2 linked regions of the Canis lupus familiaris genome follow. The protein of the gene in region 2 purifies or fractionates together with the protein of the main gene of each other region. This does not show direct contact. Links are inferred from orthologs where the notes say so. Each region holds a gene or a part of one and is shown on either strand. Other genes may lie near its edges.

Evidence for each region.
Region 1: the proteins of CCNH (region 2) and ERCC2 purify together in Homo sapiens (affinity purification with mass spectrometry; 3 studies listed by BioGRID and IntAct, counting the BioPlex papers as one, with this or other methods). This does not show direct contact. The link is inferred for Canis lupus familiaris from reciprocal best matches to the Homo sapiens genes CCNH and ERCC2.

What each region holds. Positions count from the first base shown.
Region 1 is NC_049222.1:110,894,286-110,899,690, forward strand, and holds part of ERCC2 (general transcription and DNA repair factor IIH helicase subunit XPD), read left to right. Parts: intron 1-643; coding exon 644-762; intron 763-3,361; coding exon 3,362-3,431; intron 3,432-3,515; coding exon 3,516-3,585; intron 3,586-3,684; coding exon 3,685-3,786; intron 3,787-4,909; coding exon 4,910-4,973; intron 4,974-5,405. UniProt on the Homo sapiens protein: ATP-dependent 5'-3' DNA helicase. Component of the general transcription and DNA repair factor IIH (TFIIH) core complex, not absolutely essential for minimal transcription in vitro.
Region 2 is NC_049224.1:21,182,039-21,188,554, reverse strand, and holds part of CCNH (cyclin-H), read right to left. Parts: intron 5,296-6,516; coding exon 5,173-5,295; intron 4,078-5,172; coding exon 4,004-4,077; intron 2,974-4,003; coding exon 2,763-2,973; intron 1-2,762. UniProt on the Homo sapiens protein: Regulates CDK7, the catalytic subunit of the CDK-activating kinase (CAK) enzymatic complex. CAK activates the cyclin-associated kinases CDK1, CDK2, CDK4 and CDK6 by threonine phosphorylation.

The sequences.
Region 1 (5,405 bases), on a different chromosome or scaffold from region 2:
CCCAGGAGGTGCCTGATCCAGCCAGGATGTGGGCACAGAGAAGATGGACTTGAAGCAGTGATGTCCGGAGTCTGGTTCTAAAACTCTGACCGTCTGCCTGGCTCTGAAACCAGGCGCTCCTGTTCTAGGACCTGCCCTCCTTGAAGGGTGACAGCCTCAAGCCTGACTGTCGGTGTTTGTGACTGGGTGACCTTGTGTGTGTGTGTCCATGAAGGGTGTGTGGGATTGTACCCTGTGAATGTGTGGTTCTCTGAATGTATGTGTCACCAGGGTGGCCGAGTGTGACTGATGCAGTGGGAGGGGTCCTGGGTGTGAGTGTATGTGTGGCCATGCAGGTTCGGGTTGTGACTGGGATTCTGGGTGTAGCTCTGGGTCTCCTCTTTGAACCAAGAGCCTGCGTGAGATTGTGTGACCACATGGGACATGTTTCCATGTGACTCGATGTATGGTCACTGCTCTGTATACACCATCATCTGGCCGTGGCTCTGTAGGACATGCAGCTGTACGGTGAGGAGACACTGGTGACTGAAACGGCTCCAGTCTCTCCTCATGGAGCACCCAGTCACCTGGGGAGGCGTGTGTGGCCGCGCGCTGACAGTGGGTAGAGAGGGACTGACCTGACCCCACATGGCTTCCGCCCCAGATTCTGTGCCGAACGCCTCCGCTCCCTCTTGCACACCCTGGAGATTGCCGATCTTGCGGACTTCTCTCCCCTCACCCTCCTCGCTAACTTCGCCACCCTCGTCAGCACCTATGCCAAGGGTAAGCTCATCTCCTGCCTCTGCCAGGCCCCCTGGCAGCTGGAATCAGGATCCCAGCAGAGTCCAGGGGGTTGGGACTGGGACCTTCAGGACCTTGTAGGGCTGGGCTCAGGAGTTTGGGTTTTGTTTCGAGTACAGTGAGGTTCCACAGATAGTCCTTGAGCTAGTGAAGCCTTGTGCTCAGATGTATATTTTCAGAGGCTCCCTCTGGCTGCAGAATGGAGTAGGATGGGGGACGAGGCCAGAGAAGCTCTGTGGGGTCACTTACACTGTAGGGTATGGTGGTAAGGAGTTGGCCCTTCTACTTCTGGGAAGTGGGAAGCCATGGAAGATTCCAAGCAAGGGAAGAGCAGAGGCAGGGACCTGAGGCAGGATGGGAGGATGAGAGGGGCTGGAGAGAGATGTGGGACCTGGTACCTAGGATTGGGGGGGCAGGAAGGCATGGCAGGGAGGGGACAAGGAGCTGAGTATAGCACTCAGGTGCCAGGGAGAGGGGACCAGAGACTTTACTGGTCAGCACTACCTCCCCTTCCTTAGCATTAAACTGGCTGAGGGCTCAGTCTGATCCCTGGGGATTACTACTCTATCCTGGAAACCAGGTCAGGCTTCCTGATACCCTGTACCCAGCCTAGAGGATAGAGAGGCTGTCCCCCAAATCAGCATCCATCAGCAGCAAGTCCCACTAGAAGCTTCCTTCCGTGTCCATCCCCCTGTCCTTCCCCTTCTTCCTTCTGGGGCTGGCTTTCTCCTCTTCTGCCCACTTCCCTGTCCACCAACACCTCACATTCTTCTGCCTGGAATGTCTATCCCGATATTCCTTAGCCCCCAACTACCTCCTACTCATCCTTCAGTTCTTGGCTTGTTAAAAATGTTCCCTTCTCCAGGAGGTCCTCCCTGACCCCCCAGGGTGTGTCTCTTCCTCTTGGCTCTCCTGTTCCAGCTCTGTCTACTCTGAGTGGTCACTCTCTGGGGACAGGACTATGAGCCCTGAGAGGGCAGGGCCAGAGATGTCATGGTTCCCACTGTGTCCCCAGTACAGGGCCAGGCACAGAGGATTTTTTTTTTTAAGATTTTATTTATTTATTCATGAGAGACAGAGAGAGGCAGAGACACAGGCAGAGGGAGAAGCAGGCTCCCTGTGAGGAGCCCGATGTGGGACTCGATCCCGGAACTCCAGGATCACACCCTGAGCCAAGGGCCGACGCTCAGTCACTGAGCCACTCAAGCATCCCAACTTTTTTTTTTTTTTTAATTAAGTAAAATTGAATATGTGAATTCATTCATTTGCCTATTTTTTTTTTAAATTTTTATTTATTCATGATAGGCACACAGTGAGAGAGAGAGAGGCAGAGACACAGGCAGAGGGAGAAGCAGGCTCCATGCACCGGGAGCCTGACGTGGGATTCGATCCCGGGTCTCCAGGATCGCGCCCTGGGCCAAAGGCAGGCGCCAAACCGCTGCGCCACCCAGGGATCCCTCATTTGCCTATTTTTAAGAAAAATTTTATTTGTATTTATTCATGAGAGAGAGCGGCAGGGAGAGAAGCAGGCTCCCTGTAAGGAGCCCAGTGTGGGACTGGATCCTGAGACCCCAGGATCAAGACCTGAGCCGAAGGCAGATGCTCAACCGCTGAGCCACCCAGGCATCCCCACCTGTGTTTTTGGTTTTTTTTTTTTTCAACAAATGGGTCCTGCCCAGCACTGAGGAAGTGGCAGAAACCAAGAGGGACCCCATTCCTGATCTCCTGGCAGTTACACTGTAGAGGAGAAGACAAGTAACAAAGACTCAAATAAAAAAGATAATTCCAGAAAGGGATACTTTTTCACAAGAAAAATGTTGCCATGTTGGAGCATGCCTGCAGTGGCCAGGATGGCCAGGGAAGCCCTGAGGTGCTGACATTTGAGCTGAGTTCCAAATGACCAAATGGAACCAGCTGCCTTGGGAAGCTTTTCAGGCTGTGAGGCCAGCAAGTACAAAGGCCCTGGGGTGGAGTGAGCCTGGTGGTTTTTGAAACTTAGGAGGCCTGTGAGCTAGGAGAAAATGGGTCAGCGTGGCGGGTTCTCGCAGATAATTTTGGACTCCGGAAGGAGTATGGGGAGCTGTGCAGGGCTTCTGAGCAGGGCAGGGATGTGACCTGAATCAGAATTTTACAGGGTCCCTCTGCTTCTGGGAGGGGAGCAGGGGCAGCAAGAGCTGGATGCCCAGTGAGGTGACTGCAATGGTCCAGGCTAGAGGTGATAGTGGGGGAGGGAGTGGGGGCAGTGGTCAGATTGCAGATAGGCTTTGGAGGCAGAGCTTGACCCATGGCTTAGATACCATGATCATGGAAGGCTCCAGGCTTTGGCTTGAGTGGTGGTGTGGGTTCTTAGAGCCTTGAGAGTGTCTGAGGAGTAAACCTTTAGTGCTCTCTGCTCATGATGCTCCCTGAGTGGATGTCAGCCCTGGGAGAAGCGGGCAGGTTGGGGTGTACTTTGGACTCCCAAAGACTGGGTTTTAAGCTTGAGCAACTGGTGGTTGGCCCCAATCACTAATGGGGGGAGGAGGTAATAGACAAGTGGGCTTGGCTATGACCGGTGACCTGGAATCTCACCCGGTTGTAGGTTTCACCATCATCATCGAGCCCTTTGATGACAGGACCCCCACCATTGCCAACCCCATCCTGCACTTCAGGTGAGACCCAACCGCAGTGTGAGGCTGTCAACAGACCACGGGGGCCCAAGCATGGTCCTCACCACCCTCCTCTGCTTCCTATAGCTGCATGGATGCTTCACTGGCCATCAAACCCGTGTTTGAGCGTTTCCAGTCTGTCATCATCACATCTGGGGTGAGGACCCTTATCTGCCCTAAACTCCCAGTCCTCTACTATGGGGATCCTGGTTTCTGCCCGGTCCTGCTAAGATCCCTCCTGCTGTCCCTGCTATAGACGCTGTCCCCACTGGACATCTACCCCAAGATTCTGGACTTCCACCCCGTCACCATGGCAACCTTCACCATGACGCTGGCCCGGGTCTGCCTCTGCCCTATGGTGCGTGGGAGAGGGTGGATGCTGGGCCAGGGGAGATGTGTCAGCTCTCGTCCTCCTGTTCCCTCTCAGGCTGCTCAGGCAGGAGAGTATTAGCCTGAGGGCATAGGCTTTGATTCAGATAGATCTGGGCTTGATGCTACTGCTTCCTGTGGGTCTGACTCCCCAAGCCTCAGTTTCTAACCTGTAACATGGGGATGCATCCTCCCTGACCTCCCAGGGCGGTTGAGGTGATAGTGAGATAGTGGATACAAGATGCTTATGTGGCCCAGAGCCTGGCACCAGTCGGCCCTCAGTCAGCATCTTGGTTAATGTGGGCTTTGCCTGGTTCATCATCTGGTCATGACCTTGATGATGACCCTTCTCTGCCTCAGCCTCCTTTGTAAAACAGGCATCGTAACATGAGCCCTTAATTCCTTATCTGAATCCCTTGGGCCAGATGTATTTTAGAATTGAGAATTTTCCAGATTTTAAAGACAAACCACATGCTGTACAGTATGTGACATCCCCAGTGGGGTCTGGGCAGCTCCCTCCAGTGAAAGTTTTATTTCAGCAGGAACATGTTTTGAAACGTCAAACTAAGGGAGGTAAGTCAGGACTCTGAATAGACTCAGGTCAGGGCAGATTTTGCCACTATAGGAGTTTGCACCAAACTTAAATATCTGGAGTTCCTTGGGTCTTGGAATTGCCCTTCAGGGGTTGTGGACTGGTGACGGCCACATTCTGCATCATGGTTTTGTGGAGTTGCTGGGGGGGGGGAGGGGGGGAAGGGGAGGTGCACCTGTGGCTGGCGGTTGGTGAGGTTGTGGTGGAACCCTTTCTTCTGGAACTGTGTGGCTGGGAGGCTGAGGCCAGTAACACATATTTGCTGGTTAGCAACACAGACAGACTTGGGTTCAGTGTCGGCTCTGCCCTTGATTTGCCACGTGACCTTGGGCAGGCAGGCAGCTCACATCTGGGCCTGAGGTCATCCATCCGTGCAGTGCAGATAACAGGGGAGCTGAGGGTTCACTCAATGACATTGTGTCTATAAAAAGCTCAGCCTGGCACCGGCAGGCAGCTAACGCATCAGAATGGTGCTGTTTGCTTATCGTTTGCTTATTGTGACGTCTGTTGCTCTCTGCAGATCATTGGTCGTGGCAATGACCAGGTGGCCATTAGCTCTAAATTTGAGACCCGGGAAGATATTGGTATGCTGCTCATGGTGGTTTGTGTGGCTCCTGAGAGGGGAGGTGTATCAGTGGGCTAAGTCATGCTGCAGTAACAAACATCCCCAAATTACAGTGGCTTGACACAGAGGTTACTTTTTGCTCACAGTATGTGACACTGTGGACTGGTGGGGGCCTGCCCCGTGGTTTCTCACTCCAGGAACCCTTACCACGTCCCCTAAATTGTGACGGCAAGGATCCTGGTAATGGTGCTGGGCCTCACGAGGGTTTACCTGGAAGTGACACATAGCCACTTCATGCATTTCATTGGCTAGGTCGAGTCACATGGCCACGCCTAACTTCAGGGGCGGGGGGTGGGGTGGGGTGGTGCAGTTCTCTCAGGCCAGAAAGAGAAGTGGAAAGTATGTGAACAGCCCTACTGGTGGCCTCTGGGATTTCTAGGAACTCCAAGTT
Region 2 (6,516 bases):
ACCTTTGGTCCCTTATCCCTCTACTTGCTCCTACTTACCAATGTCCACGGATCCTCATTTCCCTCCAGAATTCCCTGCCTCAATATGCTGCCAATATATTTCAGACAGAGCCTTAACAACGGCTGAATCCAAGCAATCTTCTGCTTTGTAACTATATCCACATTTCTTGGTGCTGCAATAGAAAATAGTACCACCAAGAGGTCTGATACTATTATTATAAATTCAAGTTCACTGACCTCAGGAGGACTTTCAACACTGCCTAGCTATGATAATATCCCATAGAAAAGTTCTCCCATTTTTCAGTAACTGGGTGTTCAACATTTTCCACCTGTCTCAACGTCTCTGGTAGTTTTCAGAAATTCCACCACTCTCTGTAAATGATCTCTGCCTTAAACAAAGACACACTATTTTCTGTCAGCCTCAATCCCCAGGGGTAATGCTGTCCTCAACCCATGCTTTCCTCTTTCTCTCTGTTCTAAGAGCTATTATTCTCTCAAGGCCAATTCTTCTATTTTGCTTTGAATCTCATGCCAATCCCTTATACCTTACTCCAAAGAGAAAGCTGAACTTATTTTTTACTTCTTCCTTTAAGCTCTCTCTCACTACTAGCTCTCCACATCAGTTTCTTCCACAAAGCAAAACAAAAGCCATCTCTCTCATCTCTTTCTAGGAGTTCCTCTATCTTCTCACTCATCTTTTTCCACTTCAAAGACAAGCTGTTTAATCCATGTCATAAATACCTGTTTTCTCACCTTCTATGTATTCCCCAACTGGCTCCAATCTGCTTTCTTCCTCCATGCTCTATGAAGACAAATGTCACAAAAATCGCAAATGACCCTTCCGGCACTCCACCCAGCAAACATTATCCCTTTTGCTTTTACTTTGCCTGAATTCTGAACAGGTTAGAGAGTGACCTGTGTTCATCTTCTAAAAGTACTCTACTTCTCTTCACTTCTCCAGAAAGTCCTATCTCTTTGGATATTTTCAGTCTCCTTACTAGCATCTTCTATTCCTCCAACTATTCTATATTTATTTATGAAAATAACTTATTTTTAGAGAGAGCAAGCAAGGGAGCAAGCATGAGAGCAGGGGGGTGGGGGGGGGGAGGGCGGAGGGAGAGAATCTCCAGGAGACACTGTGCTCCCAGAGCACGTGGGGCTCAATCTTATGACCGAGCCAAAACCAAGAGTTGGGTACTTAACCAATGAGCCACCCAGGCACCCTTCTCTAACTACCCTTTAAATGGTCCTTTTGGCCAACCCAGTTTAAGTTTTCCAGAAGTAACAACACCCAATAGCTTAGCCATCATCTCTCACTTCCAGACACTCATAATGTCTTGGAGGAATTGGAAATTTATTATGTCCCAAACCAGATTCATCAAACCCCACCCCTCCACTATCAATAAATCTCTTCTATGCCAGCGTTTTCTGTATCCGGAATTGAACCACCATCCACCTATATTCTTAGGCCAGAAACCTGGGGGTTCCTCCTCTGTTCTCAATCCCTACAGGAAGTAAATCCTCAAGCTCTAGTGGTTGACTAGTATCTCCTAAGTCCAGGAAGTTCTCTCTATATGCACAGCCACTGGATGAGTCAAGCCAACCACCATCTTTTGCTTGGACTACTCATAATAGCATCTTACTGGTATCCTTTCATCCATTCTAATCCATTCTCCATATTATGTCTGACGCATACATACGTGCAATAAATAGCTGATGCAGACTGATTCAAGAGCTTCCAAACAAAATTTTTAAAACTGCAAACCTAATTATGCCACTGCTCAGACTTCAGCCTTACAGTGGTCTCCCACTGCTCTATTCAAAATCCTTAATATCCCCTCCACAGTCTAGACTCTACCTTCCACCCAGATAGCACTCTGTGGCAGTCTTTTCCCCTCTATCTCTACGCTGTTTAGGTTCTTGCACCACAGTTTCTTGAATCTGGACCTTTGACCAAAGAAATCTAATTGGTGTATTATTCTACTGCCTAATTCCTACTCTTGCTCTGATTTTCACTCTAAATGACCCTTTCTCACGACAACCCATCTCATTCTAAAGTATCCTGTATCTTTCTTTCTGTAACACTTAGCACACTGAATATATGATTATCTTTCCCATTAGACTGTAAGACCTAGGAGAGTTGAGGCTGTTCCTGTCTTAATCCTCAAGCACAATGTTTTGGCATATGGTACACATACCCAAATTTTGCTACTCAACTGAGATGAATGAACCAGTTTTTGACTTCCATTTTGACCTCACTCACACTATCCAAGTCCCCTTTCAGGACCCAAACAAAACAAGTTATTTTTGTCAGGGTTCATTTACTTACGTTTTTGATGCCTACACATGCACTAAAAATAAAAATCACTTAGCAATCTTCTAGTTAAAATTAAGAATTTTTGTGGTTCTTTAAATCAGATCCATGGCAGTATACTTCAGAGTTAGAAAAGTTAACTTAAGTCTTCAAAACCATTACTCTAAACTGATAATAGTCCTCATTACAGTTCCTGGACCAATATGCAGATCCACTAAATGAGCAGCTCTGGTACTGTAGCCCAACAGTACGGTTAACAAGCCTTCCAGGTGGCACCGAAGTTTGAGAACTATAACATTAGAGATCCAAGCTAAACTCACATGTTAGAGCAACTCATGTTGTTACAATTAGGAATATTACAAGTTATAATAAAATTTTGATTTTTCTGGTTACAGAACTATAGCAAAGGTATACACTCTACTAGTTTACTTTTTATATCGACAGGATACCTTTAAATCAATGAGAAAGCCCTCAAATGGTCTATAAGGATTGTGGACAATAAGGTGGAAATTAAGTTGCTGTATAAGAAGCAGTTCATATTCCAAAATCTGTTCAAGTGCCTTCTCTTGTCCAAGAGGACTCTCCCTCAAATTTCCAACGAACTGTGGACTAGATACGTTGAATTCATCAACTTTGCAGGCCAAAAATGCACAAGTAAGCCTAGAGGAAAAAAAACCAAAGGGATAGGATGGGATCTGTACATACTTTGAGAAATATCTGAGTATTTTATTGCTAAAATAAATTCCAAAAATGCCTAATATTAACAGGTGACGATGCTAGACATTACAGGAAATTTTTTTTTTTAAAGAATTTTCTCTTTCAACTTTTTATCCATTAGAAGACTATAATTAGGTTGAACTGTATAATCTTGCCATAGCATTCAACCATAATTGACTTAATGGCAATTTCATAAAGTTCAACATAAATATCTGGAAAAATAACTGAAAAATAAGAGTACACTGGATCATGAAATGTAGATAGAAGAACACAGCAGTATACACAGATATACCTGGGAAGGAAGCAAGGTAAGAAAGGTGGGAAGAAAGGTAGGAAGAAAGGAACACCACCAGTGAAGACTCTGAAGGCATTTCAAAAGATTACCACCTCAGTAACAAACTTGGGAACTCTCATGGCTACTACCATAAATATCAAGTAAGAATCTAGTAATAAAATTACCATAAAAATCAAGATTGAAAGCAACAAGGGCCTGGCCTAGACTGATAGAAAAGGAAATGAAAAAGAGAGAAAATAAATAAGGAGAATGTGATTGATAGCAAGCTCTTTGATGAGTCTCATACTAGATTTATCTTTATTTTTAATGGACTTTTGTTCAATTGATATGAATCCGGAGCTATAAGACTTTTAAACCCACTGATACAGAAGGAGAAGAGGTACCACAAATGATTCTCAGCGGAAGCAACAAAGAGAAGAAAGGTGCTACCAACAGAAAGGGGTATTAGGGAAAGTTAGTATAAGAAAAACGGACTTTGAACAAGTTGAAGTTCAGATGCCATAAGTACTATAGGGAGGGAAGTATTACAGATATATAGGATATAGGAGTAAAAGGACAGTATAAATTCATAACAGGAAGCAAGTCTAAATTACCCTTTATTAGAAAGTCATTTCTTTTTTTCCCCACACAAATAAAGATTTTCTTAAATGAAAATCAATAAATTAGAATTATACTCACATTATTATCCGGGGGTGATATTCCATTACTGAGTTATTAAGATAAAAACGCTTGAAATACATACAAGCTGTACCCTATGATTAAAAATACATACATTATCAAAATCTATTCACACATCCATGTTAAATTTTGTATAAAATTCTTTTAAACTTACATATGCAAAAGTTTCTTTGAAAAAGTTTCTGATACAAATATAAAACTTAATCTTCTTTAATCAAATAAATTGTGATGAATTATTACAGCAATGTCACAGCCAAAAGACCTTTTCTTGTCCTTCCCCACCCACCCTGGTTACCCTTCCTATGGTCACTGAGTTAATTTTAAAAAGTCTATGTGTGTTTATTTTAGACTTCAGAATAACAAAAGCCAACTAGATTAGGAAAAAATGAAGGAGAAACATACAAATATTCACAGCTTAACCAATCTCGTGAAAACATGGACAGAATTAATACAGTTGGGGCAATAAGCCCTCTCTGTAAATCCACTTTGGCTCTGTGTGGTAGAACTATGCTCGTATTGCCAAATTAAATAGTAGAAGCAGCACCTACCATTTATTAACTGTATCCCATGGGCCAGATTCTGTGCCAAGCACCAAGCTATCATCTTTTTCTATCCTTACAACAGCTTGGTGAAGTATTGCTATCTCCACAGAGAAGGAAACTGCCTATCAGTGAGATTAACTGGGTCACACATCTAATAAGGAACACAGAGGGATTCAACTAAGATCTGCCTGTATTTTTAACTACTCTGTCATTTCACTAGAACCAATGAAATAGATACTTATCTATTTTTGGATTGAAAGAAAAGTTTCATGTGGGCACCTGGGTGGCTCAGTGGTCAAGCATCTACCTTTGGCTCAGGGAGGGTGTGATCCCAGGATCCTGGGAGTCTCCCATCAGGCTCCCTGCAGGGAGCCTACTTCTCCCTCTGCCTATGTCTCTGCCTTTCTGTGTCTCTCATGAATAAGTCTTTTTTTTTTTTTTTTTAAAGAAAAAGAAATGATACAGAATTCCTAAGTTAATGAATTTATCAAAAAATACATGAAATGACAAAAACATGAATACGTACATTTGCCTAAAGTGGGCAGAGAACTGTGTTACACATTTAGAAAAGTTCTGATTTCAGAAGTCAGCTAAAGGACATTACACTTTATCACTATTGTAACTTACCACAACAGACCTTGGCATTGCTGGCTTAAACACTGAACAGAATTCTAATAATCTCTTCTCATAGTATTTGCAGAGTATCATTTCTTCATGAGGTTCAAGAAAGACTGGATCATTTGGAAGAACCTTTAGATCAAAAGTTACAAATAAAAATTTAAAAAAAATTAAAAAAAAAAAAAAAAGGGATCCCTGGGTGGCGCAGCGGTTTGGCGCCTGCCTTTGGCCCAGGGCGCGATCCTGGAGACCCGGGATCGAATCCCACATCGGGCTCCCGGTGCATGGAGCCTGCTTCTCCCTCTGCCTGTGTCTCTGCCTCTCTCTCTCTCTGTGACTATCATAAATAAATAAAAATTTTAAAAAAAATTAAAAAAAAAAAAAAGTTACAGCAGAAGTTCAATGAAATGAATAATCTTAAAATACTTTTCTCAGTCCAGACTGCATTTGTATCTCCAACCAAAGGGAAATATACCAGATGTCATTTTTCTCTTTAGAGAACTAAATTATTACACGAAGTAATATTAGTGAAATATCTGATAAACTAAAAATGATCCTATTGTATCACAGTTTCTCAGAATGTCAGCTGGGCATTTACTTCAGTAGGGTAAAAAGAATCATGACAGAGGGTGTGCATCTGCTCACAAGTTTGATGTCAATCATAAATCAAAAAGATGATACAAGGTTGGGGGGGGGGAGGGGGGCCTCAGCGGTTTAGCGCCGCCTTTGGCCCAGGGCCTGATCCTGGAGTCCCTGGATGGAGTCCCGCGTTGGGCTTCCTGCATGAAGCCTGCTTCTCCCTCTGCCTGTGTCTCTGCCTCTCTCTCTCCAGTCTCTCATGAATAAATAAATAAAATCTTAAAAAAAAAAAGATACATACTGTCATTGGTTGGGAAGGTTTCAACATCCCTTTCTCAGTCATTAAGTCACATAGGCTGAGGTAAAAATCAACAAGTGTCTCAAGGATGATTATGACCCTTAAAAAAATAGTACCTCCAACCCCCTCCCCCCAAATAGTACCTCCTGTCTTTATAAACTCTCCACAAAATACCTAGATGGTTCATAAAACAATTTTAAAACAATTATATACTAGGCAGTGTTACTGGATTAATTATGTTTACCAAAAAAAGGGGGGGGGGGGTATGTTGAAGTCTTAACCTCCGGGATCTGAGTGTGACCTTATCTGGAAACAGAATCTCTACAAATGTGACTAGTTAATATGAGGTCATACTGGAGGACGGTGGCTCCTAATTCTATACGACTGGTGTCCCTATAACAACAATGTGGGAAGATACAGAGAGAACACTTTGTAAAGACAGAGATAGAAGCAAGGAACAGGGCAGCCCTGGTGGC